7 linked regions of the Rattus norvegicus genome follow. The protein of the gene in region 2 interacts with the protein of the main gene of each other region in a pairwise test. Links are inferred from orthologs where the notes say so. Each region holds a gene or a part of one and is shown on either strand. Other genes may lie near its edges. The genes, in order: Nfu1, Tfip11, Golga1, Sap30bp, Rhno1, Ccdc146 and Zc2hc1c.

Region 1 (3,500 bases), on a different chromosome or scaffold from region 2:
GTGCTGGAGAAAATGTCTCAGTGGATAAAGTACATGGCACACAAGCGTGAGGACCCGTGTTCAGATCCCTAGTAGACTTGTCTAAATAAGACAGAGAGTGATAAAAGATTCTCAAGGTCAGGCCTGGCCTCTGTGTGTGCACACACTCACACGAACTCATACTGCACACTCACACATTCACACAAACTCACACTGTGCACATATACAATCACACTCACACTGTGCACATACACATTCACACAAACTCACACTGTGCATATATTCACACATTCACACAAACTCACGCTGTGCACACATACATACATGTACAATTTTTTACCATTTAGAGTTTTAAAGGTTTGGATCAGAAGTTTATCATAACTGCCCATTTGGTGAAGTTTCTTAAGTTAAAATATAATAATATATATATATAATAAAAATTTAAGTATTCATACTACAGAACTGTCAAATACACTCCTGAGGAGGAAGCTTGTAACTTCAACTCAATTCTTCTGAAATCACACAAATGCACCAGCTCTGCAAGGCTGCATCAGGCACAGAGGGCTGCAGCGCTCTCTGGTGGAAGCCAGCAGACACAGCAGACACAGTACCTGGCCAGAGGGGAACGGAAAGCCGCAGCTGGTGTGGGGAAATCCATGGTCCTCGTCTCAAGAACCGGCTTTCCTGGTATAAACTTTAAGCTGTTGGGATTTGGGGTGTCTTGTGTTTGAATAAACATGAATCGTACTGAAAAAGAGAAAGAGTGTTATGCTAGAAAAAAAAGGTTTAAGTTATGGTCAACGAAGTGCTTTTTTCAAAAAGATTTACTTTTATTTTTTGTTTTATATGTCTGAATGTCTTGCCTACATCCGTGCATGTGTACCATGTGCCAGCGGCATTGAGGAAGCCATCGGAGCCTCTAGAACGCAGTCATGGTGGCTGCAGGCTACCACAAGGATGCTTCGAGTCACGCCTAGCCCTTCTGCAAGAGGAGCAAGCGCTCTCTCTACCGAGAAGCCTCTCTAGTTCCCAGAAGTGCCCGATTTTTAGAGAAACAGAAGTAAGAAACACTGGGAAAAGTGACCTCACAGGCTTTTTCTCCCAGGCTGACCAGACATCCTGAGCGGTTAAACGCTTGCATTCTATTAGGACGCCTGTGCCTCCAACCAAGGCAAGTCTGCTCTACGGAGAACAGAAAAAAAAAAGCTTAAAGGGAAGACTGTCACTACTTTCTATTCAGAACCAGTCATTTTCTGTAGGTTGGTCTGTCTGTCTGTCTGTCTATCTGAGACAAGGTCTCCTATCTAGTCTTGGCTAGCCTGGAACTTACTACGTAGACCAGGCTGGCCTCATACTCATAGGGATCTGCCTACAGAGTGTTGGGATTGACAGTGTGCTACCAAGCATGGCTTTGTATTTTGTTGTCTTAATTTCCTGTAACTAAGATCACTGTGCTCACTGGGCATCTCGCTGAATCTGAAGGACTAAATCTGGCTTTACCCTACTCAATACACTGAGAAATCCAGGTCCACAGAAAAAGGGGTTTAAAGAAGTACCAGAGGGTATAAGTATAAATGTAAAACCAAAGAGGTCAGAACGAAATCTCGTTTGAAAGCTAGAATCCGGCAGACACAGTAGCCCAGGGCCTGCGAGGCTGAGGCTTAGAGGAGGAGCCTGAGTTCATGCCAGGCTCAGCAGTGTGCAGCAGGCTGCAGGCCAGCCTAGGGCAGTTAGTAAGAGCCTCTTAAAAACCCACAAAACAAAACAGAAACCAAACCAAACAGCCCACACCATCTATTACACTGGGGGAGAAAAATTAAGGAAAATACTGGATCACCACATGCTTTTCTCTCTCAACATCAGTAAGCTGCCTCAAAGACTAATCTGAAGAGATATTTCGCCACATCATTCCAACTATATTCTAAATCCAGTTTAATTAGGTATTTTAAAAATACCTAATTAAACGACTCCACACACATACAAGTCACATTGTATGAACTTAACAGGTTATATTTAGGAATTTATACGTGAATACACATACTCGAACTATAACAACTCCTGAAAATGGGGCCATGAATTTGAAGGAGAGTGGGGAGAGGTAAAGGAGGGTTTATAGAGAAGAAAGGGAAAGGAGAAACATTGTTATTAAAGTACAATCTCAAAAGACAAAAATCAATCACCTCCTAGCTCTAACATCCAGCCAGAAAGTGTCCTGCATTAGGGCAGGGTAGGAGAGAGTGAAGTGTTTTCCCTTTGGGAGTGATACAATACTGGTCCCTTAGTAGACAAACACCGGCTCCTGCACAACACAACAAAAACTGAAAGTCACTGTCAAAGACTGAAATCAGTGGGTATCCAACTGGAAAAGACTAGAACACCACAAACTGCAGTTCCACAAAAGTTAACCAGTTAAAGTGGGCTGACCTACTGAGTTCAGTATTTACATCCAAGGCATTTTGTGATTCCAGGAAACATTTCCCACCTCCAGTCTGCAGAAGAGATAAGATTTCTTCCAGATTTAGTCATGCCCCTACCACCCTCTATCTCACCCTACAACATGGCCACAGGAAGGTGCACGAGGCAGCAGGAGGAAAAGGTTAATCCATGACCACATCAAGCCAAGCGCACCCACACCTCTCCAAGCTCCCCCAATGCTGCAATGACCACATTCAAATTACATTCAAAATCAGATGCTAGAAGGTTTGATTAAAGGCAGGAATTCACTGCTGTACAGACAATTCCTATAGAAACAGAGAAAGCAATACTTTAAAAGACACATGATTCTCTCAAACAAAAATCCACTTGTAACTTCTTTCTTATAATATTTCATTTTAGACATTATTTATTGAGCAACTCATGGTCTAGAAAATGTGTTTACAAGACATGGAGATTTCACAAGTCTACAGATAATGTCCTCTGACTAATAATAGTAAAGTATGGTTTTACCACAGGGAGGGGGTGGGGATGGACAGGAAATCACTGGATCCTTTTTCTAAGCTTCTGAATTGAAAATTGACAAATTCTTGGGCTGTTGAGATGACTCAGGGGGTAAGAGTGCTTGCTACCAAGGCAGAGGCCTGAGCTCAATCCCAGAACCCACATGGTAGAAGGAGAGATCCAGCTTAAGCAACCTGTCCTCTGACCTCCACACATGCAGTACAACACACACAGACACACACACACACACACACAGTTTTAAAGGAAAACGTTAACATTTTGTATTTTATGACCATCAGCTCTAGCACTGTACCTGTGTTATACAAGGGCGTGCGCAGAGGGAAGAGTGGTCTCTGTACATATTGGTGCAGAGGCTGTTTCTTAAAGGCGTGTGGAGTCGCCACATGACAGAGCCTACATTTGAAACAAAGAGTGACATAGTAAGGAATCTGATCTGTTTTGTTGTTTTGAAATGAGTCTCACTCTATAACCCAGATGGCCTCATGGACATGTGACACTCTTGCCTCTGCTTCCCTAGTACTGGAATCACAGACATGAGCGCCACACCCAGCAAGCAGTATGAT
Region 2 (4,107 bases):
CTGTGAGCCAAAGCAGATTCCCCGAAGATGGAATCAGGGGCAGTGTGAGCTGCCAGCCGTGGCACTGGCTGGGAGCCACACTCAGGTCTGCTGGAGCAGTGCTCAATCTTCATTGCTACTGAGTCCTCTTCCAGCCCACATTTAACGCTCATGTGGTCCGTTCAACTCAAACCTGTAGCTGAAGACTTGCCACTGTCAGTAGTTGATTATGAGTTCAAATTGGGATGCAATGATCTCACTTCCCTTTGACACTTTCAAAAATGGCGCTATTGCTGCGTGCAAGAACAATCTGTAGAGTGGCTCATCCCTTTCACCCTTCATGTAGGAACCTGGTGATGGAACGCAGCTAACCAGGCTTGCCCTGCAGACATCTCCACCTCTAAGCCATCACACTGGGCCCCTTTCACAACCGAAAAGACTGTCTCAGCTCCCTGCTTGCTTTAGAGTGGTACAGTTCTTATCTAGCGTGCATGTAAAACACACACGGCATTTGTTTTAGATACTCTTTCAAGTGTAAAACTCAAACAGAACAACCCAGATAGATAAAAATCCTAATTAAAATTAATCAAAAAATCATAAGTAAAATTAAACAAAATATTCTGAGTGAGGTCAGCTGGGAGGCACATGCTGTTTTCTTGCCTTGAGAGACAGCATCTTACTATGTAGCCCAGGCCGTACTACCACACGTCCCCTGTGGACGACGCCTTCATTTGGGCCAACAGTCTTCTCCAGAGTGACCTTCCCTGACCCCCCCTGTTCTCTAGTGCCCTGCAAGTGTTCCTTGGCACAGCATGGTCCCACAGCTGCCATGCCTGTGGTGGACCAGCACGTCTCTGTCCATATCCTGCTCCCGTCACACAGTAATTGCTAAGGAGGATGTTGCCATCCCAGCTCAACAGTACAGAGCAGGATGCTGTAGTGTCTGGACAGGAGCAGGGCAGGAAACTCTTCTAGGGTGTCCTCCTGACCCTCCAGACCAAGGGCATGCAGCCCAGCACACAGTACCGTTTGCCTCCGAAGCTGGGCCTCTCCTCGTCTGAGTCACGCTCAGCCCACACTCCATAGGTGGCCTCCTCTTTGGTCTGCCAATGACGCTGCCGGTTGGGGTTGAACTCATTCTGGAGATCCCAGTCAGTGATCTCAAAGTTCTCACGCTCGTCATCGTCATCATCAAGGTGGCCTTCCCCATCCCGGTACAAGTGGGACAGAGACATGGCCAGTCACTACAAGAAGAGGGGACAAGAACAGCACTGTGAGAACCCACGGCCAGCAGAAGATCCTCCGGAGTCAAAAAGCTATGAGCCTCATAATACAACTCAGTAAAGCAGCCATTAAACACAGGATAAAATGACCAGCTCTGCAACAAGTGAGACGAGTCAGACCCGGTCATCACAGGGGTCTAAGGAACAATGCCTTTTCAGAGTCAAACATAGTGCATGCATGGGGTGGGGCCACAGACAGACGGCAGACATGCCACAGAAAGGAAGCAACAGCTCCATGTGCTATTACCTCAGAAACCAAGTTGGTCCTTTCCTTCTCCAGGGAAGTTGTACCTAGCTGATTTGCAGTTCCAGGGAAACTTTAGAGCATTTTCTGAAATACTGTCTCACAAAACTGAAGGTTTCCTTCCCAAACCTGAATGGCTTCTGAGGGATTGGAAGGAGGTGGTCTTTCTGGACGACACTTCACAGTCACGCCTAGAGGGTGTAGAGTAAACAAAGTGTTCTACCCAGGTTATCTACTTAGCTCTCTCTCATAACTGCATTCATTCAGTTCCAGAAGTAGCTTGCAAGCACTAAAACAATCCTTTAGAAAGACAAAGGCAGTCCATCTCAGTAATTTCAAAGCCAACCTGGTCTCAAAACAGACAAAACAACAAAAGCTGAACTCCCTGCAGGTGCTCAAGAAACAGCACCCTCACCAGGCAGGATGATGACCATCTTTGATTCTAGGAATAGGGAGGCAGAGACAGGTGGATCTGAGTTCAAAGCCAGTCCAGGACAGTTCCAGGACAGACAGGGCTGGCTGTTACACAGAGAAATTCTGTCTCGAAAAAAAACAGTAAACAAGGTGGGGGGAGGGGAGAAAAAGAAAAAAAGAAAGAAAAAAAAGTAAGAAAAAAGCATCTTCTACTTCCGTCCCGTGGTCAGGTGGTTTCAGGATCACCGTCATTACCAGTCAGGGCTGAGAAGTGAACCCTTCAAAATGACTGTGAAAATCAGGAACACTCAACACTACCGCCTGAGTTTAAATCACGCTTCTATGAACACCTCTGTGTGTGGGTATCACATACAAAGGCCCCGACACTGCACAGCAATGTCCTCACTATGTGACTCCATGGTGTACAGATGCACCAGTAATTGACAGCGGAGAAAGCGCTCCGTTGTTATAAACATCTCCCTACTCCTCACTATGCACCGGTTCATCACAACAGGTCTCAACCTCAGCTAAGAGTTGAGCGCAAAGTTCTCAAAGGAGCAGGAAGCCCTGGGCTCATGAGATTACCACCTCCCCAGCACAGGGGATAGTAAAAATCCCACAGTGGTCAGGAGACACTCAGCTTACCCGCGTTCGGGGCTGGTTATTTAGTGTCAGCGTCAGGACGCTCCCAGGTCCCGTCCCGCGGCGGGCCGGGCTGGAGACCTGGGCGCGGGGAGAGCATGGGACCGCCGCCATAGAGCATCAGCCCGCCCTCCGGGCCATCCCGCCACCCCGCCGCCCGCTCACCTCACTCAGCACCCGTGAATCACACAACTTCGGTCCACCTTCCCAGAGCCTGCGAGGGACCCGCTAGCCGAAACCCGGATGTGACCTGCCGGCGCACAGGAAGTGCGTCACTCGCTGGCGGAAATGGCGCGCTGTTGCCCCGGCAGCGACTTAACGCTAAGGGGGCGTGTCTGAGTACTGGAAGGCCTCGCTCTGCTTCCGGTTCCCATCGGAACTGAGGCCGAGTGGATGTCTGGTCCCTCTGCAAGCACTGGGGTCTTGGTTTGTCAAAGGCGGAGAAGGTGTTATCCCAAGGAAGCCACCGCCGGATAGAACCGCCGTGCCCATAGTGCCTGAACCAGCGTCACGGGGACCCTGAGTGATTAAAATGTCCTCAGGACCCCATGTCGCGAGAAGGAAAGGCTAAGGGCCCAGCCCCAGAGGAAGAGCTTGGCTGCCGGAGGTCCTCGCGTTGTAATCGGCGAGCGTGCTTCCTGGCTTTTGCTTTATCTTTTCTGTAACTCTGTAAACAGGAAAGGCAGAGGAACCGAAGAACTTATCTCTAGGCAGCTGTGCACAGCCTGTAATAAATTTGTTTTTTCTTTGTCAATCCCTGGCCCTATTTTGTTCTGAAATACCTGATTCTTGGGTTGTCTCTGTTAGGATAAACCAGTGTGGGCCTGGAACAGTTTAAGGAATGAGTTTCCGAAGGAGTGCCCGGGCGTTCTCGCCAGGAAGCAGTTTTCCTCGCTGCTGTAGTTATTTCTCTGGTGCTGAGAAAGAAAGGAGTTGGGCTTTTTTGTTGGTTTGGTTTGGTTTGGTTTTGGTTTTTGGTTTTTTCAAGACAGGGTTTCTTTGTGTCCCTGGCTGTTTTGGAACTCAACTCTGTAGATCAGGCTGGCCTCGAACTCGGAGATATGCCCGCCTCTGCCTCCTGAGTTCTGGGATTAAAGGCATGCACCACCACTGGCCCACAGGACGGGGGCATAGTTCATCTTACACTCTACACATCTTACAAATCTACACATAGTCTGATGCCATCTCTGGTTCTGAAACACGCTCGTTTTCTCTAGTACACTAAAAGGCTGCGTCTTGGTGGGTTTTGTTGTTGGTTGGATTTTTGTTTTTCCCCATCAGCTTGATACACACTAGAGTTATATGGGAAAAGGAACCTCAGTGCTTCCATCATCCTGATGGTCTACAGGCAAGACTGTGGGGTGGTTTGCTTGATGAATGATTGGTGTGGGATGGCCCGGCCCGTTGTGGGTGGCACCACCCCTGCTCAAGTGGTCCTGGGTGCTGTAAGAGCGGGAACAAGCCAAGAAGCAGTATTCCTGTGGCTTTCTGCTTCAGTTCTTTTTTAAATGTCTGCCTTGGACTGAAATCTGTAAAGCAAATACA
Region 3 (3,500 bases), on a different chromosome or scaffold from region 2:
CCTCCCCATCCCCAAAAAGCAGCTTGGAAGCCTTTACCTCAGATTCTCGACAGGACATGAATTTTAAAACAACATGTTTAAGGTATTCAAAGTTGATCTCTCGGGCTTCAGTTAGGTCAGTATTATTAGTGACAGAAGGGGCCATATTTGGTATCTCAGGGCCTGTCTTCTCCCGGACCTCAAAAAGCTCATTGTCAGGTTTGATTTTCTGAAAAGCAATGGGAGAATGTGCTATGTCACACCCCTCAAGCTAGGTCTAGGATCACAGGGAGTCTCCAGTCCCAGCTGTGATCATCTATTGCTCCTTTTTTTTTTTTTTTAATTCTTTTTTTTCAGAGCTGGGGACCGAACCCAGGGCCTTGCGCTTGCTAGGCAAACACTCTACCACTGAGCTAAATCCCCAACTCCGCTCCTTGACTAACTTACATCACTGGGTAAAAGGGCCCTTGACTAGAGGTCAAGTGCCTGAACCTAAGGAAGGCTCTGCTCCTCCTCTTGGGGTGAGTGGCTGAGAGGAGTGAACTAGGTCATGTTTTTCTATCTCTTTGAGAACACAGGCAGGTATGGAGAAGGCAGACTCAGACCTTTGCCCAAGGACACATGGTCACAAGAACACTTCTCAAGATCTAAGGCACTTCCACTAGTCCATACCTGATCTCTGCAATCAAGCAAGAGAGCATACCAGGCAGCCAAGGACCCCGGGGTGGACCAGAGTCAAGGGAGGGTAGAGGGGTCTGGGGGTGTGATGTAGGGCTGTATGTGGAGGGCACTCACCAGCTCTTTCTGCAGAGTCTTCTTAAGTTCCAGCATCCTCTGCTGCATTTGCTTCATAATCTGAGGTAACCCATCCCAAAGCCAGTTGTCAGTGTCAGGTTAGAAGGTTTTCAGAGGCCCTCCTGAAGGCTCATCCCCCTTACCCTTTCAGCTGCCTTCATTTCTTGCTGTTTTACCCCTTGCTTTCCTAGGCCCCAGAGAGGCCACAGTATTATTGTTCTTTCAATAGTTCTCTCAACACCCACCCAACCTTGGGTGGGTCCTCAGGCTTATTGGTGTGCCCATATACTTCAAGAGTGCTGCTTTGAGTGGCTCTGCAGAATATATTCCATTTTTTTAAAAAAAATTAATTTTATATTTATGGATGTTTATGCTTGAGGGTGTGTCAGAACCAATGGGACTGGAGCTACCATGTGAATGCTGGGAACTGAAGCCAGGTTCTCTGGATAAGTGTGCTCTTAACCTCTGGGCCATCTCTCCAGCCTCTCAGATTCCTTTTTTTTTTTTTTAATTTTGTTTTTCACACCTATCACCACTGCACTGGTAATTTGCAGTGTAATTCAGATAGTGTAAAAGTAAAATCCATCAATACTAGTTTTACACACACACACACACACACACACACACACACACACACACACACACACACACACACACACCATATACACACGTACTTTTCATGTGCAGTAGTGTTTTGCTTGCATGTTGTATGAGGGTGTGGGGTCCCCTGGAACAGGAATTGCAGATTTTATGAGCTCACAGCACAGGAGAGTTGTGAGCTGCCCTGGAGGTGCTGGGAACTGGACCCAAGCTGCAAGGACAGCTAGTGCTTTTAACCTTTTAGCTGTCTCTCCAGTACCTTGGGAAAGTCTTAAGCTCAGTGGTAGAGCGCTTGCCTAGGAAGCGCAAGGCCCTGGGTTCGGTCCCCAGCTCCGAAAAAAAAAGAACCAAAAAAAAAAAAAAAGAGTTTTCTTTGACTTTCTAGTTTATGCTCTGATTCTTATACTGAAGAGTGAAAACTTGCTTCCTTTTTGTGTTCTGAGACAGGATCTTCCTACAGCTTAGGCTGGCTTGGAATTCACAGTAGTTCTCTTGTCTCAGCCTCTCAAGTGCTGGATTAGAGCTGTACATCAGAATGCCCAGCTTTTTTTTTCATGCACCATTTTCACTGTTTCTATTTCCCCAGTGGTTTCGTGTGTGTGTGTGTGTGTGTGTGTGTGTGTGTGTGTGTGTGTGTGTGTGTGTACATGAAAGGAGGGGATGGGGTGGTGGAGGCAGAGTCTCATAGATACCAGACTGGCCTCAAACTTGCTATAAACCCGAAGAAGATGACTTTGAACTCCTATTTTCCTGTGTCTATCTCATAAGTACTGGCACTACAATCATGTATAACCATGTCTGGCTTCCTAGTGGTAATTTGTAATGGGTTAGTAACTCTAGGGAATGCTCACGCTTTACTGGGTTTCCCTTTTTTTTTTTAAGTTTATTTATTTGTTATATATAAGTACACTGTTGCTGTTTTCAAACACACCAGAAGAGGGCATCAGATCCCATTACAGATGGTTGTGAGCCACCATGTGGTTGCTGGGATTTGAACTCAGGACCTCGGAAGAGCAGTCAGTGCTCTTAACCACTGAGCCACCTCTCCAGCCCCCGGGTTTCCATTTTTTTTTTTTTTTCTTTTCTTTTTTTTCCGGAGCTGGGGACCGAACCCAGGGCCTTGCGCTTGCTAAATCCCCAACACCCCATTTTTATTTTGTTTTATTTTGTAACGTTGGGATGGAGCTCAGGGCCTTACCATGCATGCTAGTCAAGTGTTCTATTGTTGAGCCCCATTTCAGTCCCTGACACCTCCTCAACCCCCTCCTTTCTTTTTTTGAGACAAGGTCTCATTACAGAGCCCTGGCTGGCCTTGAACTCAGATGAATCCACTTGCCCCTGCCTCCAGAGTGCTGAGATTAAAGGCACATACTACCATGACTGAATTTCCCCATTGGCCACTCTTGAAAGCAGGACTCAAGGTTGATATAGCATGCACCTTTAATCCCAGCACTGGAAAGATGTGAACAGGCAGATTTCTGTAAGTTCTAGGCCAGACAGGGCTACACAGTGAGGTCTTGTCTCACAAAAAACAAAACAAAAAAAACCTACCACCACCAACAACAACAAAAAACCCACGTGAAACCTGTCTTTAAAGAAAGCTTCATAGGCTGGAGAGATGGCTCAGCATTCAAGAGCACTGACTGCTCTTCCAGAGGTCCTGAGTTCAATTCCCAGCAACCACATGGTGGCTCACAACCTTCTGTAGTGGGATCTGATGCCCTCTTCTGGTGTGTCTGAAGACAGCTACAGTGTACTCACATACATAAAATTGAAACAAAAAGGAGAGCAAGCTTCATATAACCCAGGCTGTTCTTATTTCCTGGCCTTTCTGTATCTGTCTCCAGTGTGCAGGATTGCAGGTATGGGCCACTACACATCAGAGAGATGTAAGCGGAGGAGGTCTGAGGAGTGAGGCCAAAAGTCCCAGCACTCAGATCTGAGTCTGAGGCCAGCCTGGTCTACAAAGAGTTCCAAGACAGCACAGCCATGGGGTTGGGAGTGTTGGGGGGAAGCCATGAGAAAAATAGTGGAAAGATGGCAGACTAGGGGGAGGGCCAGGTTAGAGCAGACCCATCACAGCTAGGCAGGTGTGGTGTCCTCACCTTATTTTTCTCTGTAAGTTG
Region 4 (3,500 bases), on a different chromosome or scaffold from region 2:
GTATCATAAGCAGTGTGGGGAGTGTTTAACTGCACCCAAGAGAGCAGCGGCCTCTGTTATTGCCGGAGAATTGTTCAGAACTGGTTTCTGGATCAGGAGAATAGGAAAATAGACAACAGGAAAGGTTATGTGTGTGGCCCCTCCTTGAGCTCCCACCTGCCCACGCCCTGGGCATACACTGGGAATGACCATGGCAGCTCCCTGGGCTACCCCTCTGAGTACTCCCGTGGCTTGTCGGCCATTGTTCATCCTGAGCCACAATCCTGACTGTTACGAAGGGCACTAGAGCTTCAGGTTTGCAGCGTGGGAGAGGCCAGTGCACCTGACATGCCAGGACCCAAGAAGCAGTACTTTTAATTGGGTGAGACCCAAGAGGTGTGCGCACAGACCCTGTCCAATGCACACACTGCCTCTGCTGTGACGTCCTTCCGGCTGGAATGCCGAGGCTCCTCTTGGAAGGCATGTGGGGAGTGCGTATCAGTCCCAAACAAAGGCACCTCCCAGTGGGTGGAAGTTACTGGGTTGCACAGTCCTGCCAAGTCCTGGGGTGTCCTCTGGTCACTGCTTGGCCTTCTTCACGATGGTACCCACGGCAGAAATGACAGTGGTCTTGGAGCCGCTGGCACTGGTGGTGACAGTGACCACTGCTGGCAGGGTGGCTGTGGTGGTGAGGATGGTGGGCTGCGCTATTGTCGTCACGGGGATGGCCGAGTCCCATTTGCTCTTCCTCTTCTGGGCATCTAGAGGTGATACAAGAGAGGGGTCAAGATCAGCACCAACCAATAGGACCCCAAGGGCAGGGCCCCTTTCCCGGCAGGCCAGAGGCAGGTTGGGTCCAGGAACCCAGAGGGAAGTCAATAATCTGGGAGCCTTGCTATGCTCATACTTGGCAGAGCACACAAGGCCAAGCCTGGCACAGTCCCTCTCTAACAAACCCATGAACCTCCCGCTCTATCTGGAGGCCCTGAGGTGGTGCAGGGACGGGATGAGCAGCCTGTACCTGCGACAGCTGTGCTGGCAGTGCTGGTGGTGGTGGCCGTGGCATTGGTTGTGGTGCCTTTCTTGGTGCCTGTTACAAACTCAATCTGGAGAGGAGAGAGGACAATAAGACCATTGCAGAGACATGTGTCCATTTCCTGTGCTGTCCGTCCATCTGTCTGCTCCCAGGGCACAAGAGTTCGGCATTAAACAAAAGAGGCCCTGAAAACCATCTTGGCTGGGAGCACTTGGGAGAGTGGGAGGTGCCTGAGGGGCTTTTGTCACTCTTCCAAACACTTTCCCAGCAGATGTGGGGTCCCTCCCAGCATCACAAGTTACCACACATGACCGACCGGCACCCAACCCACTGTCCCCTTAAACCAGCTGCCAGGCCTCTCCTCCTCACATCCAGGAGGAAGTGCTATCTTCTGCACAGAAGGACAGCTGTGGTCCCCAGACCTGTGTTAAGCCTAGGGTTTAGGGGGAGAGGAAGAGAAAGAAGGGGGAGATTCATTCAATGGTTAAGAACAAGAAACTTGGGGCTGGAGAGATGGCTCAGTGGTTCCATCCAGAGAACCCGAGTTTGGTTCCCAGCACCCACATGGTGGCTCACAACCATCCATGCCCTCTTCTGTCACACAGGCATACACACATATACATAAAATACATATGCACATTTTAAAAAAGGACAAGAAACCTAGTTCCTCCCCCTCACACCACTCCCACATTCTTGGCCACAAAGCCTCAGAAAGGGCCAGTTACACCCCCAGGCCTTGCAGCCCTCAGCCTGGAGGTAAGGGAGGCTCTTGTGGGTCACAGCTGCTGTGAGGAATTCAGCCCTAACCAGAGTAGGAGAAGGTGTATTCTCATGTCCAGCTGACAATCTGGGGATCGTGAAGCTCCTGGCAGACCCTCTCTGATGACACTGCTACAGAAGTGGTGCGTGGTGTCCAAATTGATGGCTTATGTGGCTCTCAGACATGAGATCCATAGGAACCCACACAAGCTGGCTGTGGAGGTCAGCTCTGCAGGCCAAGAAATGCACAACGCAGAGTAGGCCTTAGCCTCACTCTCATGAAGGAACAGCTACTTCACATCAGGCTGGAGCACCATTGAGCCATAAGAGGCAAAGCCCCCAGGGCTCTGCAGTGGGCTAAGGAAGGGCACAATGCCGGGGACGCCGAGCCTGCCACAGCTGAGCAGTGGTTTCCATAGACAGCCGTCTGCTCATCACAGAGGCCAAGGCCAAGGATGCTCAAGGCCTCACTAGACATGAAGGGTAGGGGTGGCAGGGAGCCTGGGAAGCCGGACTCTTCCACTCAGCAGCAGGACCTGCACACCTCACAGCACCTCCGCCCCAGGGTCAGTCATTACTTACTTTCGTTCTCTCCTTTTTGGCCTTTTCCAATTTGTCCATTTCAATCTTCTGGGCCTTGGCTGTGGAGACATGAGCAGTGTGTGACCGAGGAGGTCACTGCCTTGACCTTGCATTCCTCATACTGGCCTAAAGGGCTGCATGGGCTCAGCACTGGAGCAGGTGAAGTGTTAGGCCCTGGTCAGCGTGGACCATGGGCCTGGTCCAAGGGTCTGGGGGCTGCTCCTGAGCTTCATTCACAGTGAACGACCACCCTACTGACTAAGGAACGCTAGATACAGAATTATATTGTAAATAAAAATATTGGGAACTAACTTAAAATAAGGCAAAACTTGTAAGGGCCACATATACACACACTAATGAGCCAGGACCTGGTTTACAAGCTCTGGGCTTGTGACGGGGACTCACAGGTTCAAGGCTCAGGCTGTGAAATTACTCCCAGCTCTGTGCTGTGTTCCCTGGCCTTAGAACACACACCTCCTCTGCCCCGGGCATTCTGGCCCCTGCACCTCTCCAAACCTTGCTCTAACGGTCTCCTCAACAGGGCCTTCCCAATCTTTTGGCCAGGTCAGGCGCTCTGCTTGCCAAAGGTTTCTGGCTCTGCTCACATTAATTCAGTGCCATCAGTGTGGGAATTACTATCCCATCTGCCTGTACTGTGTCCAAGTCTTGCCAGCAAGGGACACCGTCAGTCTTGTCCACAGAAGCCCTGTAGACATGGCCCGGCACAGAGACCCTGCCTGAGATATGGGTCACCTAAGTCACTGACTGGATGGACAGACCGATGGGTGTGTGGATGAGTAGATAAACAGAAAGCTACAGAGGTTACCCAATGCCTCATAGTAGGAGTCTTCAGACCAGCCGTGGGGATCAAACATATCCTGCAAAGAGGAGGTTAAACTGTAGTCAGAGCGACACCACAGTGCACAGGAGCTGCCTAGGCTAGGGCCCCAGCCCTCATGAAGGCACAGGGCTTCAGCCGGCTCCCTGATCACCAGCCACAAAGCCAGGAAGCTCCTAAGAGCAGAGTAGGAGCGTCCGCTCAGCTGGTAGCAGTGGCACAGGCCCGGTCCTGGCTTCTAACTGGTTGGGACCCAGAGACCAAGCCTGTCACTGGCATCTGCCAGACTACCAGCCAAGCCACTCC
Region 5 (2,746 bases), on a different chromosome or scaffold from region 2:
TTTTGTTGAGTATGGATAAGATCGTATGTTTCTCGTGGTTTGGTATAGGAAGCTGGTTTACCTACAACCTGAGGTCTGATTGGTGGTTTCTGATAGATTGGTTACCCTGACGTCATGAAGAATTGGGGGAGGGGTGCCACCCACATGATCCCCCCCCTTTGTTTCCTCTCTCCAGGCATGGTTTGCAACTGGACTCTGACCCAGACCAGGAAGGCAGCCTGCATCATGTTGTTACTAACTGTTCTTCATTTACCCATTGATGCCTCCCCGAAAGAGACGCAGACAGTGCCAGAAAGCCCAGCTGCTATTCCACCAACAGCCACTGGAGGGCCCCAAACCCCATTATGAATCTCACCAGCAGCCCATTACCCACACTGTACAGGTGCCCAGCAAACCCATTGATCAGAGCACCATCACTTCCTGGGTGAGTCCTCGCAATTCTTTGACCTTTGCTGTGTTACGTTTTTCAGAATCCTGACTCTTAATCCTTTTGGAGCAGGGACAGGGAAGCAGTTGCTCTTTCTGGCTGCAGTTACCTGATTTGTCTGGTATATCCTCTTTTCATTCACACTAAAATATGTTTTATATGGAATTGGAGTCTTCCTGCCAGGTTCCTCTGAAAAGTTCTGATTGAACACTTCACTCCCCAGTCACTGGGTGAAGAAGCTAAAAAAAAAATGACCAACTTATAAAAGATTACTTCCTGTATTTCATATGAAAAGTACTAGGTACTCTACAGTTGACTGAACTTTAGTGGAGAAACCTCCTACAAAGGTGGCGTGCTAATTCACGCAAGTTCATCGTTGGGGAGGCTGAGGCAGAAGGATCTCAAGGCAAAGGCCAGCCCGGACTTTACAGTGAGACTGTCTGACAAAAGAAATTCATACGCACTGACTGAATGAACATGCAGATTAGATCCCACACCTCAGCAGTCTCACTTACACGGAGCTGCCGGTCGTATTTGCTGAAGACCTTCCTGCCAGGCCCTCGCCAGGTGTTGGAGACAGTCCCTTTGTCCCTACCCTCTTGAGGGCGTGGTTTTGCTGAGGACTGAACTGAGTGTGCAGAGCATGTGTTCTGCTCCCGAGGACAGAGTTAAACAAGCTTGAGCAGTGGAGTGTGGTGGCCATGAGAGATGCCTGTCTCCTCTCCTGCTCAGGAGCAACTGGAAGAGCAGGGCGATTGGACAGCTGGCCCAGGTCCCTTGTCTTCCTGTTGTATCACATAGCTGGGTTTTTATTGTAGTGAGTCCTCACGATTCTGGACAAAAAATAAAGGGTTGTACATATTTACTATAGTTTCTTTGTAGTCGGCCCACCACCACCACCATCTTTCTTTTTTCATGCACAGGTGTTACCTCAGTTTGATACAGCAGCAGAAAGCCGGTTTCCAACACACCGGAAACATCACCGAGACCAAGCAAGACACCCAACTCGGAGATCTACCTGCAAGTTTCCACGTCTAACCTTTGAGAGTCCAGAGTCTTCGAGTTCAGAGACATTGTTGCTATCCAACAGAGAGCAGCTCCAGAACTCAGAAAAGGATGCTCCCAGAAGGCCTTTAGTGCCATTGTTCAGTCCCCAGAGCTGTGGGGAGCTGTCAGTGCACGTACCTCAAAGCTTACCTCATGTGTTCATGCCCCCCGATATCCAGACCCCAGGGTCTTCGGTAAGAGAAGATCCCATTTCCCCAGACCAGAAGGAAAACAGTCTTCCTAGCTGCATCCTTGGTCCTAGGACCCCCAGGACCCCGGAGCCGGGGCCTGTTCTGGTCAAGGACACCCCTGAGGAGAAGTATGGGATTAAGGTCACGTGGAGACGCAGAAGGCACCTGTTTGCCTACCTTAAGGAGAGAGGGAAGCTGGATAAAAGCCAGTTCCTTGTGAAGACCTGACTGGACTACACAGACTTCGGTTCACCCCAGAGCTGCTGCGGGGAGGTTTCCCAAGTCACTTCTGGTTTGAGAGGATGCAATGGAATGAACATTACTAGGAAGACGACTTAGCCAGAGGCCTAGAGTTGGAATTCGGTTTCTAGATTTCCTTTTTAAGCCACCTTGCCTCAGAAACAGTTGAATTTAGTATCATGAACTGTTGGTATTTTTCTCATATTAACTTCTAAACCTCTGAAGTATCTTGTACTGTTTACAGTGCTTGTAAATAAATGGCTGTCCTGAGTTTTTAGAGAACCCCACCTTTGTCAGCAATGTGGCAGCACGCCCATCTATAAAAGGTCTATCTATGCTCACTGGTCTTCTGACTTGAACTAATTCGTTCCACACTTTTGGTTCCGCTTGACACTCAGCTGTCACTTGGCTGTCGGAGAAAATCAAGAGCGAGCTCTGGTTTTTTTTTTTTTTTTTTTTTTTTTAAAGATTTATTTTATTTATTATATATATAAGTACACTGTAGCTGTCTTCGGATACACCAGAAGAGGGCATCGGATCTCCTTACAGATGGTTGTGAGCCACCATGTGGTTGCTGGGAATTGAACTCATGACCTCTGGAAGAGCAGTCGGGTGCTCTTAACTGCTGAGCCATCTCTCCAGCCCGAGCTCTGGTTTTTAATGGTCAACAGCTACCTTGACAGCCTTGGCTCCTCTGCTCAAAGGCCCTCAGCCAGGCCTGTGTTGGTGAATACAGTGGGGTCAGAGAGGTAGGGAACAGATGAGTAGTTTAGGTTTGTGTTTTGAGATTCTGTCTAGAGTGGAAGAAATCACAGATGCTGGAGAAATGAATTCCTATTAA
Region 6 (3,500 bases), on a different chromosome or scaffold from region 2:
AAGTCACTGCTGGAGGTGAAAGCAGTTTCTGATACCAACACTTGCAACTCAGAACAGCAGCGAAAGTTTAGATAATAAGGTCAAAGTTGATCCCCAGCAGACTGTGGTAGATGAAGTTCCGCTCGCTACCAACCGCTCGTCTTCTCAACCTTTCCCATAAACGCTGGCTATGCAATTCTGAAGAAACTAGAGGGTGAGTTTTATAAGAAATTTAACCAGAATGCAGCAGATGCACGTGGAATGGCCCACGAAGAAGATAAACATACGCGCATATCGTGTTAGAAGAGCGCAAGCCAAAAATTAAGACTGAGTACAATTCATGGTGATGCTGTCCATACTTCACTCAGAATGGTGGAAAGAGTCGAAAAGAATTAGCTAGGAGCTTTTAGTTGATAAACTAAGTAAGCGTTTGTGATTTTCTGTCATTGTTTTCTAAGATTTCCTGGTCCCGGGTAGCACTCAAGGCCATGACCTGTGGCCTGAGGGAGGAGAGCATGGAGAACAGCCCATCCTAGGTCTGTCTGCACAGGTGATGCTAGTTTACCTCCCCTCCCCCACCCCACATCAGACACATGGAGTCTTCCTCACAGGCATCTCGCCTCGCCCGTGAAGTCTTCCTAAGTACTCAAGGCTGCTCGAGTTTCCCCTTTGCTTTGATCTACCCTCATCTGTTCATCGGAAACATGAGAGTTTATAGTGTTATATGAATTTCACAAGACCACGTCTTGCTTCTTGACAGCTGTCTGTCATAGGTGAGGCCCTGAGAATCGGGAAGCACTGGCTTACAGATGGTGAACGGGGCAGCCAAAGATCCTGTTAGGTGACATTTAACCACCAAGCAGGCTCTTTCCCAGTTGTGCATACTGGCTTGGGTACAACCCTAGTGACTCGAAGAATGTTGTCACCAGAGGAAAAGATTCACGTCAGGTCATTTGCTCTTATAATGGGGTCCCAAGTAGGCAAGTAGGCCTTTAGCACCCCAAGATGACCCTTCCACAGCCTTGGATTCTGCCTTTCTTCATTAGCAACTATGGGATTCCTTATCAAATACTTTCCCCCCAAGTGTTTCAGCACAGGACAAAAGTACACACTAATACGGCAAGAAGCATAATGGCAAAACTGTAGCTTTTGGAAGCAACAAAGGAATTAAACTTTTTCTTTGAAGAATTTTACATGCACTTATCTAAGTGCCACATTTAAGTAGTGAGCTATACTCCCTGGTAACCAAGAACTGCGTTTATTTGGCCTGTAAGGTTGCATAAGTGAATGCAGACTGGGTATATAATACCCTCACACGAACAGTCCAACACACGCAGGTCCCTCGGTTCCTGAACCATGAATTCAAGAGGCAGCAGGGTGTGCTAGGGAGATCACAGGCTCTCTGGCTGACGGCCTGGGTTTGCACCTGCACCAGTGAGGAAGGAAGCTTGCCTTTCTCTTCTTCCAAACCCCTGGATGCCTCATGCCATTTGTGAGGGATGGATCCAAGCCCTCAGAGCCCTGCAACATACTTAGGCAATGGTCAGTGAGCGTTAGATATTAAGATTTATTTAGAAAGGAAAAACCATCTGTAGCTAATCAATCATGTATTTCTGGTAGATCTTCATACTTTTACTTTGCACTGACTTTATAACCTATTCTGGTTATTCCCTATTCTCAAAATTCCTGTAAGATCGGGAATCATGATTTGCCCGCCATTTTAAAAATGTATGAAATGGGGTTGGTCCCTAAGCACCAGACGTCGTTTTCATAATAGCCTCCTTTTTAAATGTTGATTTCCAGATGGAAGCTATCCCCAAAGAAGACCTTTTATTGCCTGAGCAAAGGAAGGAGCTCCACAAAGAGGTTGACCTGGCTAAGAGAAATCTGGCTCAGCAGGTTAATATCAGTCACATGTTTATCTCAGAATGGAGAATAAAATGGTGTCTCAAAAGTGCTCCCTAAAACCACGTCAGAAAGAGAATGCTAAGGGACAGGAAGTGGCAGGGAGGGCGGGAGAAACTGGGGAGGCAGAAAGTATCAAATGATGATTGACGTACGTGTATACGGGAATGCCACAGTGGAACCCATTCATATTTATAATGATATAAACAGATAATACAATATGCATTAATATTTAGAGTAAAAGTATGATGTTACAGCCCTGCTTCCAATGGCCGATTTTTCCACTGGGGAGGTTTACTGAGGGTTGAGTGCAATGTCCAAGCCCGCTAGCCAAGTGTCGTATATCCGTGAGTATACACACACCACCCTCACCTTCAAGCTCATTCCCACACTGTTTTGTTCGTTTGTTTGTTTCTGAGAAGAAGGGAGGATGTGTTTGAAAGGACAAAACTTTCCCGGGCTATGTTTCTAAAAAAAAAAAAAAAAAAAAAAAAGGCTGTTGGTTGCATAAAAGTCAACCTTGTTTCCCCAATGTCTGATTTTAAATTCCAAACTTTTGTCAGCCAAACTACTGTGGAAGTGTTTTAAAACATATTTTTAAACTCCTCCTAGTCATTTAAAAACACAGTAAGGAACAGGGTTGATGGCACTACCCCACTAGTTTCCACCCTTCATAAAACAAAGGGAAACAAACTTGGGGCTTGGCCTCTTAATAAACTCAAAAGGAAGAGGCTGGGCTCCGTGCAGACCTTTCTGGGCTCCCTCAGAAAGCGAATTCTCACCCTGTGCTTTTCAAAAGAGATCTCTGTCAGAAGCCGAGGCCAAGTTAGTCGAGCAGCAGATTGCGGAGGAAAACAAGCTTTTAAAGGAGCAAGAAACTATGCGTGAGGTGCTGTTCAACCTCGGGCGAATGACTCAGATCAAAATGGAAGAGAAAGAACAAAAGGCTAAGGACTTCCTGAAATCCCAGGTAACCGCCCTGTTATGGCTGCCCGCTAATTACTGCGCAGGCGCAAGCGAGCCTCCCCTTAACGGATTATTCATTATAAGGTGGTAATTCCACATCACATTCTTTCAAAGTCAGTGACAACAGAGGACACTCAGTCATACCCTGGAAAACTAAGCCAAACCAGGGGAAAAAAAAACAAAAAAACAAAACAAAACAAAACAAACAAACAAAACCCTCAGTATCCAGTTATCCAAAGTAGGTCTAAAGGCTAAAGAGAAGCAGCAGCACAGTAATCAGAGATCCGAAAGATGGCAACTTCAGTAAGAATGAAGTGAGTGTCCCTGGTGGCCATGAGCCACAGAGAGAATCTGCAAGTCACAGAGCCGCAGATTCCAAGGTGGCAACTTAGGATCGGAGCATTGGACGAGTAATCAGACAGCATCCCATGGACCAGTGCCCGATGCTCTTAGCTGCGGCTTCATCCCAGGATCACCCCAGACTCCTGCAAAGGGCCACAGGCAGCAATCATAAAGCAAGCATACGTGTACATGCGCGTGCACGCGTGCGCGCGCGCACATACACACACACACACACACACACACACACACACACACACACACACACACACAGCAGAAGCTAACATTTTAAAACTAGACTCAGGGGGCTG
Region 7 (4,011 bases), on a different chromosome or scaffold from region 2:
AATCAAAAGGTCATATATTTTGAAGTCTAGATTTTGGAGTCAATTCAAGTAAGATTTATCTATAGGCCGTACCGCACAAAGGTGTTAAGATGGGGGGGGGGTTCGGGGAGGAGGTATGGGGTGTGGAACAGTCGGAGGGTGGACAGGGAGGGGAATAAAATCTGGAGTGTAAAAAACAAGGGTGTAAGATAGAAACTCAAGAGCAAGGGCCACTGATTAGCAATCCATGTAGATCCACACCTACAGGTCTCTGAGGATGTCGCTAAAAGATAAAAATCTATTTAAACTGTTCGAGCTTGTATGCCTGGGGTTGTGCGCGTGTGGTGTGTGCCTGCATATGTGTGTGTGTGTGTGTGTGTGTGTGTGTGTGTGTGTACATGTGTCAGTTTAGGGGAAGCCTAGGCCTTAATTTTTGAGTGGATATAATGACATTCCCACAGACACAATAAGATTCTTACCCTCACACAGAATTGTGAGGCTCCAGTGGAAAGCTCTGACTAGAGAGATGGCAAACAGAAATCCTGATTCTCCCCTTCGTCTTACAGGACCCCAGTTCCCACAAGAAAACTGGTGAGGGCATAGCAGGCCCTGCTGCGCACCCCCACACAAAGTCAAATCTAGGAGGCTTTTATTACCTTGTCTGTGGCTGGCCCCCTCCAGTTCAAGTACTGCTCTAGTTCTGTGCCCTTCGCCCGGGCCCTGGAGGAGTCAAACACTTTTCTTTTGGAACCCTGCATCTTGCCACAAACGGTGGAGTGTCTCTGCAGCCTGAGGGAAAGAAACGAGCGTCCACAGTGGCTGCATTTGCCCAACTCTTGCTCTTCTGTGGAGGAGCTGGACCCTGAGGACCCTGGTGTTCCGGACAAACTCGATGCCTGCAGTTCATCGCCCAGATCCTCTGCAGGTTGAGAGAACGTGCCTGCTGACGGTCCTGAGTCTCTGTCTCGGATTTTATTGTTACTTACCATCAGCCTTTCCCTTTTGAGCCTCTGGATTTCATAATCAGAGAGCTGGAGTGGACTAGAGTTTTCCTGAGCCTGTTCACACGTTTGATCCTCTCCCCTGTTTCTACTGAACACCTCGGACCTCAACTCTGGGGATAAGCAGGAGTTGTGTGTGGTGTCGAGGTCACCATCTCTAACCCGCCTCCTAGGTAATACCATCCTTTGTAGCTCCCTGTCTTCCTGGAAAATGGCCTGTTTCTTTTCCCTCTGAATCCTTCGAAGACCCTCCTCTGTCTTCTTTAGCTTTTCTCGTAGGAGAATCTCCTTTCTTCGGATTTCCTTCTGTAAACTCTCGCCTGCAGCTTCTAGCCTTTGGATCTGTGTCCACTCTGTCCTATGGAGCTGTGCCATGACCTTCTCTGCCTGCGGGGAAGCAAGGAGAGAGGGATTCACCCAGCTCCTTAACCCAAAGCTGCTGTCCGAAAACTCGCTCGAGTCAGGGAGCCTTGGGTAGCCATTCTGGTCCCCGTCAATGCCTGTTTCACTTGTACTATGTGACTTCCGGTGGACCATGGGTTTCAGTGGGTATGCCCGATCCACGCCAACTCGTTTCTTCCTAAATGGAATGAAGTCCTGGTCATTTGCTTTGGGATACCGGGGTGTCGGGCTAGACAAGTAAAACAAACCCTTTCCTTGGCCCTGGGCATTGTTTCCTGAGCCTTGCTGGCTGATTCCTGCACTGTGGGGACAGGAGTGCCTCCGGGCTTTCGTGCAGATGTTCCTTTTGGGGTGGGTGGAGATGACATCCTCTTGTTCCAGCTCTGTGTTGCTCCAAAGCTTCTGCTGGAAACTAGTCCTCAAGTGTCCCATCGAGGACCGCTGGGGAGAGTCACTTTGTTCGTAAGGGTCGTGCTTAGCGGAGTGGAGCCCATGAGCTTCTGTTTTATTATGTGGGAACATAACGCCCACAGGCAGATGTGGAGCCAACTGGAGACCAGCCATTCAGTGCCTGGACCGAAGCCTAGGGGAGATTTAAACCAGATACATGTGAAGAATTTGTCTGAGGTTCACTCCCGGCTGCTAGGGTAAACTGTTTGTACGTTTGCCCTACCCACGTTCCCTTTAAACGTTTCTAGAGACTGTGGTGTTGGATCCGCCAGGATGTTCTTTCAATAAGCATTTAGGGAGTGATGATTATGTGTTAGACCAGACATTGCTAAGCCCCGAGGTCCAAAGCATAAACGTGGCACAGGTGTTCTGCCACTGACTTTTCTCCAGGCCGGTATATGACCTGCCATACGCCATTTATGGAATGGGTGGGAAAAGCTCTAGTTCGAAGGTCGTCTGTGACACAAAACAGGCAACCTGTTCTTACCAGCCCCGGGTTCTTGTAAACTGCAGAGGCTGCTCTGAGTCCAGTCCCACAGTTTTACAGGGTGAGAGCAGTGGCCTGGGGACAGGGCCTGGCCCAAAAGGCTCCCTGCTGCAAACTACAAAGAGTACGGGGTTGCCCGACCTGAAGCAGGTGCCTGATTGTCAAACCCTCATTCAAAGATGCTCTGTGGCTCAAACCGGTCTTAGCTTGTAAAGAGTGTGTGTTGGGGGAGGGGTGACAGACACCTGAGGGCCCCAGCCCGCTTTAAATCCGGAACTCCGAAGTCATGTTCTGTCCCAGAAGGTCAAATGGGAGCCCTTACTGGAACCCGGCCCCTAAGGATAAACTCTCATCTCCAACCCCTCGGGAGGTCTCGGTGTCTCCCCTTTCGGCATACCTTAGGCGCTCGGAGGGGAGACGCTCCAGCTCAAGGAAAATCCCCAAGACCTAGTCTTCCACACCTGACTAAACCCAACCGCCGTCCACGCAGGCGCTCTCTGTCTACCTCTGTTATCCCGTTGCCTAGAGACCAGAGCGCCGCCTCTGGTTGAGAACTTTGAGCTCCAGTTGTGCGCAGGCGCAGTCCACAAGCTGTCGGAAAGCCGCCCGGGACCGGTCTGGGTGGTGGGAAGTGGTGGTGGTAGTGGTGGTGGGGAATAGGAGGATGGGGAGGGAGGGGGAGGGAAAGAGGGAAGGGAGGTGGAGTAGGGGTGCAGTCGGGTCACTTGACACCGGTTGCAGCCAACTCCACAGCTCAGATCAGCGTTGCCCTTGGGAAGGGGTTGGAGAGGTTTTTCTGGGGCTACATCAAAGAAGAGTTTGGATTTCTCCGAGAATGATGCTCCCAGACCTTAGGGTGTGCCCTTGTCTGGAGAAGGGTGGAGCCCTCAGATGGGCTCTGGACTCATCCCGCCCCAGGATTCGGGGGTCTGTCGGGCTAGCGGGAGTGGGACTGCTGATCACCCTTCTGAGCACGCTGCGCTACTGCGCTCAGGCCCCAGGTAGGGTTACAAGCTCCAGGCTACATGCTCCCGGGCTGTCTTCCCTCGCAATGCTTTGGCGCCTGCTATTAGCTTTATTTTTATTTCGCTACGTGTTATAGTCCCAGGATAGTTTCTACGGCCAATCTAATCATTCTGCTATTATAATGTTTTACTCTCACGTGACCGTTACTACTTAGGGCCCAGGAATGACTCAGCCAAATGTAACAATAATAAAGTTAACAACCAGATCAACAGTAATGAAGATAACTTGATTTCAACATTAAACGATCCTCTGCAACTTTTTGACATCAGAAGAGAGTTTATTTGTCTTCTTCGTGCTTCAGTTCATTTGGATAAGCTGTTTGGAACAGATAGCTCAGTTTTTCTTGTTACTACTCAGAAGATTCGTGCACGTGGGAAATAAAGTAGACAGCAGTCTGATTAATACAACATATCAGATGTCAGCTTTTATGTGCTACGAAGAAACTCCTAGGTGGGCTCTCTAGGGCAGATTGTCAGTCATTCTTTTCACTCTCTGTTGGCTCTTCGGCCTTCTCTGCATTGCAGACGGTTCCCCCGACTAGGACTGGCGAATCTCAGCCCCCCCGACCCCTGCCTTGGTCAGCTTTCTATGGTTTCCCTTTTAAACTAGTTTTAGCACTTGCCCTCAGAATCTCTAGTTTTAAAGTATGCATAACTTCCTCATGCA

What was found.
Region 1: the proteins of Tfip11 (region 2) and Nfu1 interact in binary tests that used the Homo sapiens proteins (3 or more experiments, as listed by UniProt). The two-hybrid records come from large-scale screens. The link is inferred for Rattus norvegicus from reciprocal best matches to the Homo sapiens genes TFIP11 and NFU1.
Region 3: the proteins of Tfip11 (region 2) and Golga1 interact in binary tests that used the Homo sapiens proteins (3 or more experiments, as listed by UniProt). The two-hybrid records come from large-scale screens. The link is inferred for Rattus norvegicus from reciprocal best matches to the Homo sapiens genes TFIP11 and GOLGA1.
Region 4: the proteins of Tfip11 (region 2) and Sap30bp interact in binary tests that used the Homo sapiens proteins (3 or more experiments, as listed by UniProt). The two-hybrid records come from large-scale screens. The link is inferred for Rattus norvegicus from reciprocal best matches to the Homo sapiens genes TFIP11 and SAP30BP.
Region 5: the proteins of Tfip11 (region 2) and Rhno1 interact in binary tests that used the Homo sapiens proteins (3 or more experiments, as listed by UniProt). The two-hybrid records come from large-scale screens. The link is inferred for Rattus norvegicus from reciprocal best matches to the Homo sapiens genes TFIP11 and RHNO1.
Region 6: the proteins of Tfip11 (region 2) and Ccdc146 interact in binary tests that used the Homo sapiens proteins (3 or more experiments, as listed by UniProt). The two-hybrid records come from large-scale screens. The link is inferred for Rattus norvegicus from reciprocal best matches to the Homo sapiens genes TFIP11 and CCDC146.
Region 7: the proteins of Tfip11 (region 2) and Zc2hc1c interact in binary tests that used the Homo sapiens proteins (3 or more experiments, as listed by UniProt). The link is inferred for Rattus norvegicus from reciprocal best matches to the Homo sapiens genes TFIP11 and ZC2HC1C.

The regions. Positions count from the first base shown.
Region 1 is NC_086022.1:121,019,406-121,022,905, reverse strand, and holds part of Nfu1 (NFU1 iron-sulfur cluster scaffold homolog, mitochondrial precursor), read right to left. Parts: intron 3,331-3,500; coding exon 3,230-3,330; intron 727-3,229; coding exon 591-726; intron 1-590. UniProt on the Homo sapiens protein: Iron-sulfur cluster scaffold protein which can assemble [4Fe-4S] clusters and deliver them to target proteins.
Region 2 is NC_086030.1:49,969,458-49,973,564, forward strand, and holds the start of Tfip11 (tuftelin-interacting protein 11), read right to left. Parts: upstream 2,801-4,107; 5' UTR 2,728-2,800; intron 2,677-2,727; exon of another isoform or gene 2,566-2,676; intron 1,698-2,565; 5' UTR 1,510-1,697; intron 1,224-1,509; 5' UTR 1,215-1,223; coding exon 1,006-1,214; intron 1-1,005. UniProt on the Homo sapiens protein: Involved in pre-mRNA splicing, specifically in spliceosome disassembly during late-stage splicing events. Intron turnover seems to proceed through reactions in two lariat-intron associated complexes termed Intron Large (IL) and Intron Small (IS).
Region 3 is NC_086021.1:43,180,820-43,184,319, forward strand, and holds part of Golga1 (golgin subfamily A member 1), read right to left. Parts: coding exon 3,480-3,500; intron 835-3,479; coding exon 775-834; intron 209-774; coding exon 38-208; intron 1-37. UniProt on the Homo sapiens protein: Involved in vesicular trafficking at the Golgi apparatus level. Involved in endosome-to-Golgi trafficking. Mechanistically, captures transport vesicles arriving from endosomes via the protein TBC1D23.
Region 4 is NC_086028.1:101,692,255-101,695,754, reverse strand, and holds part of Sap30bp (SAP30-binding protein), read right to left. Parts: intron 3,235-3,500; coding exon 3,183-3,234; intron 2,416-3,182; coding exon 2,357-2,415; intron 1,086-2,356; coding exon 1,001-1,085; intron 741-1,000; coding exon 559-740; 3' UTR 1-558. UniProt on the Homo sapiens protein: Plays a role in transcriptional repression by promoting histone deacetylase activity, leading to deacetylation of histone H3.
Region 5 is NC_086022.1:163,319,641-163,322,386, reverse strand, and holds the end of Rhno1 (RAD9, HUS1, RAD1-interacting nuclear orphan protein 1), read left to right. Parts: intron 1-175; 5' UTR 176-259; coding exon 260-424; intron 425-1,350; coding exon 1,351-1,893; 3' UTR 1,894-2,246; downstream 2,247-2,746. UniProt on the Homo sapiens protein: Involved in microhomology-mediated end-joining (MMEJ) DNA repair by promoting recruitment of polymerase theta (POLQ) to DNA damage sites during mitosis.
Region 6 is NC_086022.1:14,670,410-14,673,909, forward strand, and holds part of Ccdc146 (coiled-coil domain-containing protein 146), read left to right. Parts: intron 1-1,782; coding exon 1,783-1,878; intron 1,879-2,683; coding exon 2,684-2,854; intron 2,855-3,500. UniProt on the Homo sapiens protein: Essential for sperm flagellum biogenesis and male fertility.
Region 7 is NC_086024.1:110,662,471-110,666,481, reverse strand, and holds the start of Zc2hc1c (zinc finger C2HC domain-containing protein 1C), read right to left. Parts: upstream 2,801-4,011; 5' UTR 2,717-2,800; intron 1,966-2,716; 5' UTR 1,947-1,965; coding exon 636-1,946; intron 1-635. Other genes in the region: Acyp1 (acylphosphatase-1), read left to right, coding at 3,155-3,320.